2 linked regions of the Sus scrofa genome follow. The protein of the gene in region 1 interacts with the protein of each later gene in a pairwise test. Links are inferred from orthologs where the notes say so. Each region holds a gene or a part of one and is shown on either strand. Other genes may lie near its edges.

Region 1 (4,260 bases):
TTTGTCTTTTTGCTATTTCTTGGGCCGCTCCTGCAGCATATGGAGGTTCCCAGGCTAGGGGTCGAATCGGAGCTGCAGCCACCGGCCTACGCCAGAGCCACAGCAACTCGGGATCCGAGCCGAGTCTGCAACCTACACCACAGCTCACGGCAACGCCGGATCGTTAACCCACTGAGCAAGGCCAGGGATTGAACCTGCAATCTCATGGTTCCTAGTCGGATTCGTTAACCACTGCGCCACGACGGAAACTCCTCCTTTTTCTTTTTTAAGCTGCACCTGCAGCATAGGGAAGTTCCCAGGCTAGAGGTCGAATTGGAGCTGTAGCCACTGGCCTACACCACAGCCACAGCAACACCAGATCCAAGACACGTCTGTGACCTACACCGCAGCTGACGACAATGCTGGATCCTTTAACCCCACTAATCGAGGCCAGGGACAGCATCCGCATCCTCATGGACACTAGTCGGGTTCTTAACCCACTGAGCCACAATGGGAACTCCACAGCTCATTTATTTTTAAACTTCATTTCTTTTTTTTTAACCTCCTCATTTTAGAGATGAGATCCAGAGAAGGGAGACAACCTCCTAACATCAGGGAGCAGGTCAGTAGCAGAGCCAGCACAGGAACCCAGGTGCTCAGACTCCCAAATCGCTCATGAGGGCGTCCTCCGTTGCATGCTAAACTCTAGTACTAAACCGGTGAGGACAATCTGCCGTTATGAAACCTTGAAGAAGGTGCTCCAGCTGGATCCTTGAAGGTGAGTAGGAATTTGCTAGGCATCTGCGGTGAGAGGAGGGCAGTGGGGAGGGCATTCGAGGCACTGTGTGCAACGTGAGGAAACCTGAAAAATCCCTGGGGTTTAGAAATTACAAGCAGAGCCCCCTGAGTTGGTCCGAAGGTTGTGGGTTATTGTTAAGCTGTTTAACAGGCAGAGCCACCTGACTTAAGGGGAGTGACGGGCTGAGGGGCAGAGGTGATGCTGTGGAAAACAGCAGGGATTGCAGCACTGACCCAGCGGCGGGAGAGCGGGAACAGAGGCAACACGGCCAGGTAAGAAATGACGAGGGACCGTGGGTAGGGGGCGAGCACTACGCTGGAGTCGTACAGAGTAGGCAACCCCTTAAATTTTACTCCTGCCGACTGCCAAAAAAGCAAAATGAAAGTGCCCACCAGAGCCAGCAGCGTGCTCCGCAAACGTGCGCTGTGCGGCAAGGAGAGTGAGTTCAGGCCGGCTGCGGGCTGCTGCAGCACCGCGAAAAGTTGCAAACTAAGTGGGCAGGGCCGGGAAGGGTTCCCCAGGTCGACTCACTCAGGATCGGGGACTAACAGGCTCCGCCCAGCCCTCTCGCCTCCTTGAGCCATTGGCTACCCTCAGCGTCTTTGCCTTCACCCATTCGTAAACGTGACCCTGGGTTCTTCCGCCGGGGCTTGGGGTCAAGGGTCACCAATATGGCAGCGCCCAGGAGCGGCTGAAACGTGAAGCGGAGGATGGCGCTGGTGGCGCTGGCGGCGAGGGCTCGGCTGGGGAACTGGCTGAGCGGGCGGGGGCTGGGGCTGGGGCTGCGGCTGGGGCGCGGGCACTGGACGGCGGCCGGGCGCTCTCGGAGTCGGCGCGAGGCGGCCGAGGCCGAGGCGGAGGCGCCGGTGTTCCAGTACGTGGGCGAGCGTGCGGCCCGCGCCGACCGCATCTTCGTGTGGGGCTTCAGCTTCTCGGGGGCGCTGGGCGTGCCCACCTTCGTGCTGCCCAGCTCTGGGCCCCATCCTCACGCCGGCTTGCGGCCGCGCCGCAGGATCCAGTGTGTACCTTACCGCCTGGAGCTGGACCAAAAGGTGCGCTCTGCAGCTCCCTCCCTTCCTCCGTTTCCTCCTCGGGTCTCCGCCGCCGTCTCTCGAGGCACTTGGCGACGGGTGGACGGACTTCGGGGAGAAAGATCCTCGACCGGGCTGCGGGCGGGGGGAGGCCCTAGGGCGCTGCCAAGTTGAGGGAGTGGCGAAATGTCCTAGGTGTTTTGTCTCTCATTTGCGCATCACCCCAGGAGTCGGGTTTGTGGCACAGTTATGGGCGAGGAAAGGGAGGCTCAGAGAGGTTGAGAGGAAGGTCCGTGGCCCCGCAGCTGGTTGAAGTTTGTATACTAGGATTCGCCCTCGGGCCAGGCTCCAGCAGAAGTTCTGATTTTAGGAAAGACGATTTTATGAGGTCGGAGAAAACGTGGCTGGCTGGAGTCGATGAACTACTTGGAAAGGAAACTAGAGCGCTTACAGGAATGAGGGGAAGGATGAAGGCCCCTGAGTTTACTCAGTTTTGAAAAGGTGATGCAAAGAATCGTTGCGGGACGGGAGTTTGTCTCGGCAGCCAGCACCCATTAGTGCAAAAATGGATGCTTAGGATAGATTCTTGCCTCGGGTGGTTGTGGACATCTTGATGGGTGGTGAAAAAGAAGCAAATTTGATCGGTTTGGCTTCTGACTTCTCTTTCAAGGATATCCAGTGATTTTTTAATGAAAAGGGTAGATCGAGAAAAACAGGGAATTTAAGCTCCAGATGATTGAAAAGTTGTTTTGATTTCTTCATTTTGAGTTGTAAGAGTTATTTATGTATTCTGGATTAGGTACCTTGTCATATATATATATATATATATTATATATATATATATATATAAGGTGGAAATATTTTCTGCCAATCTATGGATTTTCTTTTTCATTTCTTAATACTGCCCTTGGGAGAGCATAAGCTTTTAATTTTAATGAAATTCAGTTAAGTTTTTCTACTGTGAATCGTATATTTGGTATATCTGAGAAATCTTTGCCTAATCTAAGATTACAAAGATAATTTTCCTAAGGTATTGTCTAGGAACGTCATAGTTTTCGTTCTTATATTTAGGTTAACAAGCTAGTCATTCGAGTTGACTTTTGGGTGCTGTGGAAGTGAGAGTAGAATGTGGCTAGTATTATCATTAGTTGAAATTATTTCCTTACTGAATTGTCTTGGCACCTTTGTGAAAATCAGTATGACTGTAAATGTAAGGATTTATTCTGGAACTCTCAATTCTGATCCATTGATCTATATGTTTCTCATTATGCTAAAAGTACACTCTTGATTACTGTAGCTTTATAACTAGTTTTGAAATTGCGAAAGGTAAATTTTGGCTCTTCTGGGTGTTTTGCTTTTCCATATAAATTTTAGGACTAGCTTGTTAATTTCTGCGACAGTACCTACTGAGATTTTGATAGCGATTACATTGAATCTATACGTTGATTTGGACACAAATGCCATCTAAGCAATTTTGTGTCTTCTAATCTATGAACATGTAATGTCTCCCCATTTAATTAGGTTTTTAAGGAGTTCCTGTTGTGGCTTAGTGGTTAACAAATCTGACTAGGAACCATGAGGTTGCAGGTTCCATCCCTGGCCTTGCTCAGTGGGTTGAAAATCTGGCGTTGCTGTGAGCTGTGAGCTGTGGTATAGCTCGCAGATGTGGCTTGGATCCGTGGCTGTGGCTGTGGTGTAGGCCGGCGGCTACAGCTCCGACTAGACCCCTAGCCTGGGAACCTCTATATGCCGTGGGTTTGGCCCTAGAAAAGACAAAAAAAAAAAAAAGACAATTAGGTCTTTAATTTCTCTCAACTATGTTTTTTGTAGTTTACGGTGTACAGATCTTACACATCTGTTAAATTTATTCCTAAGCATTTTATTCTTTTTGGTTGCTCTTTTGAATAGAATTGCATTCTTTCATTTTTGAAGTGTTCATAGCTTTTACATAGAAATAGTTAGTTATTGTATATTGACCTTATATTTTGTGACTTTATCGAACTGGCTTATTAGTTATATAGATTTTTGTGTATTCTTTAGGATATTCTACATACAGGATCATGTCGTCTGGTTGTCTGTGAATAGAGACAGTTTTATATTTTCGTTTCCATTGAAACTTTTTCTTGCCTGATAGCACTGCTGAGTGTACAGCATTGAATTGAATTGCACAGTATCCTTGCCTTGTTACTGATATTAGCGAGATAGTATTTAGTCTTTCACCATTAAATTATGATGTTAGCTGTTAAGTTTCTTTTTTTGTCTTTTTGCCATTTCTTGGGCCGCTCCTGTGGCATATGGAGGTCCCCAGGCCAGGAGTCGAATCGGAGCCATAGCCGCTGGCCTATGCCAGAGCCACAGCAAGCAAGATTTGAGCCGAGTCTGCAACCTACACCACAGCTCACGGCAACGCTGGATCCTTGACCCACTGAGCAAGGCCAGGGATTGAACCCG
Region 2 (4,451 bases), on another chromosome or scaffold:
ATGTGTGATTCTCCCAAATGAGTTCAGACTCATAACGTATAGAATTACTTCAGTCCCAGTAAAACTGAATCAAGACTCTGCCAGTTTATGCACCTTCCCTTAGATATCATTAAGTATGAGCATCTTTAGACATATTTCTAAAGACAACAGATTTCTAAAGACAACATTCTCTCCCATATCTGGTAGGAGCTGCTTTCGAAATTTTGTCAATGTGGGGCAATGCTGTGATAATTTATATGTCCTGCCAACTATATGGATTCTTTTTGTTCTTTCTATTGTTTTAAGAGAGGCTTATAAGAGACTAGGTATTGGTCTTGGATAGTGCAGAGTTAGAAGGCAGATGCATTAAGTGACATTCTCCAACAGCTCCATCAGTATTAATTAAGCTGATGTTTGGTCTCCACCTACCCACCATTCCTCTATTTCTGTTCTGAGCCCAAGTTTAGGGGGAAAAAAAAAAAGGTGTTTTTTATTGAGTCTTCCCCTAAAATCACATCTGCTATTACTTTCATTATACAGGCTTATTTTTGAGGATAGTCAAAGCCACTATAAAATATGGAGATAAAGCCTTCTACAATGTTTGTAAGAGAGACACACAGAAAAGGTGAAATAATAACCACAGCCTAAAAATTGGCAAAATCCCTATATCCCAAAGGTATGTTAATGAAAATAAAAGTAGGAAACAAAGTTGGACCTTATGTATCTGAGAAAAAAGCTAAAACCAGCGGTCTGGTCAATGGGACACGGTAAGTTTACTCTCATCCCCTGAGGGCAGAAATGGACACGTGCCTTCTTCGCTAGCCAGAGGGTAAGACATGGACTTTTCTAAAGACACCCGTGGAAAGAAGCTGCAGAACTACAGAACGTCCTTCCAACATTCCAACAGTGCAACACCTGTACATGCAGGCACAAAGTCGGCTTAAACATTTTTTAATTGATAATACTTACCGCTTATTTTCACTCTTCTCAAATTTAGTGCTTCTCTCCAAGAAACAAAATTTACTACCGTTATTCAATCTGCCACTGTTCCCTTTCCATACATTAGACGATACACCATGAACACCTCTATTTCTCACCTCCTCGCCCTGGACTGCTTCAGCAAACACCAGGGTAACCCCACTCCAATCCTATCTCAAATTCCTTAGCGACATGTTCAAAGGCCTTAACGACTAGTTTCCCTCAAGACCTGCGAACATCCTTTCAGTCAAGAATCCTCCCTCACCAACCCCATATTGGGATTCTATGGCCCTTCCCGTCCACGTATCTCTCTGTGCTCAAGACTTCCAATGGCTGCAGTTTGCCCTCGAGATCCGGCGACCAAGTTCTTTGCCACCCATGTTTTTCCGACAAATACTGGGCACCAACCATGCGCCAGGCACTACCTTACACTAAAAATAAAACAGAGAGCGAGTTGGGCAACGCCACTCTGGAACGCCCATCCTGTCCTCCCCGTGCCACCTCCCCGCTCAGGGCTGCGGCCCTGGCCCTTCCTCCCGCTGGAGGGCGCCCGAGACAGCTAGGAAGAGCAGCTTCCGCCCGAGACGACTTCATTGCCTCATCCGGTACGGGGCAAGTGCAGTAGAGACACTTGGGCCACCTGGGGGCGGTCCTTGCCGCAGCAGGGCCTTCCAGACTGGCTGGCACATCGCCATACCTCACTCCAAGGGCGCTCGCGTCCTCACGGCAAGGACCCCACGGAGGGCTGCCCGGCCGAACGCCTGAAGGACCCCGCTTAGTCGGCAAGGCCAGCTATCGCAGTGCCTGGTGGCCGCGCGGGGAGGTCCAGGTGACTCGGACCCGAACTCCAGCTGGACTGGAACTCTGAATAGACCAGAATCTGGGGTGGCTTAGGCCTCGGCCGGTTCGCGTGGCTGCAGGCCTAGAGAAACGGAGGAGCAGAGAGGGAAGGAGGCGCTGCCAAAAGCTGAGGCTGGGAGCCTGCGGTATTGGAAGGCGGAGCCTCGGGTGTCGGTGGGAGGAGAAGGGCTGCAGGTTCCGGAGGCACTTGGGAGGACAAGGGGCGTGGCTGGCGCCCTCCGGGAAGCAGAGACCTAGGCACCCTTGTGGGGGCAAACGCCCAGGCAGCTTCTAAAATTTGTAATTGTCTAATGGCGCGAGTTTAAGTTGAGCGAGTTTCTCGACCTTTCAGCATTTGCTGTAAACCAAGAGCCAGGACAGGCATAATTTAGCTGGCCTTAGGACTGCCTCCCCAGAATAGCTCCCAGCACCCTGGCTTTGGAATAGGTGGATCAGATTCATTAATTAACAAATACTGTGGGAACAGTTTTTGTACCCTTGTAGCAAGGCTGTTTGGGAATGTAAATTATAAATTCTCTGATGGGAGTACTGGCAGAGACAGGTAGTGTTTAAATTTGAACTTCTGAATGGGTAACTCCTTCCTAGGTTTACAGTTGCACAAGCCAGATTATGAATTGCACAACTTGAATGGTCCCCCTACCACTCCCTTCTCTCCATCTCATGAGCCCAAATGAGCAATTAAATACTAAGTAACTGTCATCTGCTTTATGAGTTAGGAGTGAGAGCCCTGGTTGACTTAAAGGCTCCAGAGTGGGAAAGGTGGGGAATGCAGCACTGATGGGTCTCCAATCTGGCTCTCTTCATGGCAGGAGGGAGATGACTTCGATCTTGCGGAGCCCTCAGGCACTCCAGCTCACTCTGGCACTGATAAAGCCTGATGCAGTTGCTCACCCACTGATTCTAGAGGTAAGAACAAGTCCTAAGCCTCTACTCTGTGCCCTGGGCACTGCTTCTGTTTCAGGTGCTGGAGCGCCACTTGTGAAGACTGACAACACAGTTCTGTGCTAGATGGTGTGGAGGCAAAGCTAGATGCCATGGCCTCTTACACTACAGAGACTAAAAATCTGTTGGAGAATTGTGGCAGATATAAAATATAAGAGAGGATGCAATACAATAAGAACCAAACCTGAAGACAGTGTGTGTATATTAGTTCTCTACTGCTGCATAACAGATTACTTAGTAGCTTAAAATAACACTCATTATCTCACAGTTCTAGAATTTAGAGGTCCAGTAGGCTTGGCTGGGGGCTGGGTTCTCTCCTTAGGATCTCACAAAGCCAAAGTTTAGGTATCAGCTAACTGGGCCCTTATCTAAAGGGTCTAGGGAAGAATCCACTGCAAAATTCGTTCAGGTTGGCAAAATTTGGCTTCTGTGGTTATAGGACTGAGGTCCCCATGTCCTTGCTGGCCTTCAGGTGGGGACTACCCTGTTTTTAGAGACCCACATTCCTCATCACATGGCTCACTCTGTCTTCAAGAGAGCAACTGGCTGTTGCTTTTAATCTCTCTGACTTCTTTAGGCCCCAACCAGGTAAAACTCTGTGTTTTTTTGTTTGTTTGTTTGGTTGGTTAGGTTTGTTTTTTTTGTTTTTTTGTTTTTTCTTTGTCTTTTTAGGGCCGCACCCACTGCATATTGAGGTTCCCAGGGTAGGGGTCTAATTGGAGCTGTAGCCACTGACCCACATCAGAGCCACAGAAACACGGGATCTGAGCTGCGTCTGCGACCTACACCATAGTTCACAGCAATGCCGGATCCTTAACCCACTGAGCAAAGCCAGGGATTGAACCCTCGCCCTCATCGATGCTACTCGGGTTCACTAACTGCTCAGCCACAATGGGAACTCCCTAAAACTGCTTTTAAACAGCTCATGTGATTGATGAGGCCTATCTGGATAATCTCCCCCTTGATTAAAAAAAAGTCCCTTATAGTAACCTTAATTACACCTGCACATCCCTTTTGGTATGTAATGTAACATAATCACATTGCATCCTATTCACAGTCCTAGAGATTAGGGTGCAGAATCTTGGTGGGGCTCTGTGAGGGTCATTTTAGTATCCTGCCTACAATAGTTTGATAAGTATTGGTTGAGCAGCACTCTTAAGTAAGCTCAATGTGGTGAAAGGAGGCACCAGAGCAGCCAGGAGAGGTGGTGTGCAAGTATTGGGATTCAGCCAGGCTTTACAGGAAGGGTGGACTTTGATTAGTGCTGAGGCAGGAATGTGTGTGGTGGGTCTGAAGGCCACAGGCAGGCTGGGTTGATGGAACTAGAGAATTAGGAGGCAAAGACAAGGAGCGTGTGGCCTTGAGCACTGGGCTAAAGTGGTTATACCTCATCCCATGAAAAAAAGGAACCACTCAAAAGCTTCTGGCCAGAGTGTGACATATATAACTTACTGTTTTTAATCTGTCAAGTGTGATGGTTTGAAAAGAGTGGTAGAAACTCAAGGCAAGACTACTATCCAAGGCTCTTATGATGGTCTGAGTGGTGGATCCTGCAGGCTTAAGCTCAAGGGGCTGTAGGAATGGAAGGGCAGAGACAAGCTTCATGCCCTGGCTCTGTGGCCAAAGGTCTTCACCTCACCCGACATTCTTTTTCTTCCTACCCAACGAGGGACAGACCCTCAAGTCCTAGG

What was found.
Region 2: the proteins of RCC1L (region 1) and NME6 interact in binary tests that used the Homo sapiens proteins (3 or more experiments, as listed by UniProt). The link is inferred for Sus scrofa from reciprocal best matches to the Homo sapiens genes RCC1L and NME6.

Annotation. Positions count from the first base shown.
Region 1 is NC_010445.4:11,914,112-11,918,371, forward strand, and holds the start of RCC1L (RCC1-like G exchanging factor-like protein), read left to right. Parts: upstream 1-1,428; 5' UTR 1,429-1,488; coding exon 1,489-1,830; intron 1,831-4,260. UniProt on the Homo sapiens protein: Guanine nucleotide exchange factor (GEF) for mitochondrial dynamin-related GTPase OPA1. Activates OPA1, by exchanging bound GDP for free GTP, and drives OPA1 and MFN1-dependent mitochondrial fusion. Plays an essential role in mitochondrial ribosome biogenesis.
Region 2 is NC_010455.5:31,050,479-31,054,929, reverse strand, and holds the start of NME6 (nucleoside diphosphate kinase 6), read left to right. Parts: upstream 1-1,644; 5' UTR 1,645-1,786; exon of another isoform or gene 1,787-2,359; intron 2,360-2,627; 5' UTR 2,628-2,634; coding exon 2,635-2,724; intron 2,725-4,451. UniProt on the Homo sapiens protein: Major role in the synthesis of nucleoside triphosphates other than ATP. The ATP gamma phosphate is transferred to the NDP beta phosphate via a ping-pong mechanism, using a phosphorylated active-site intermediate. Inhibitor of p53-induced apoptosis.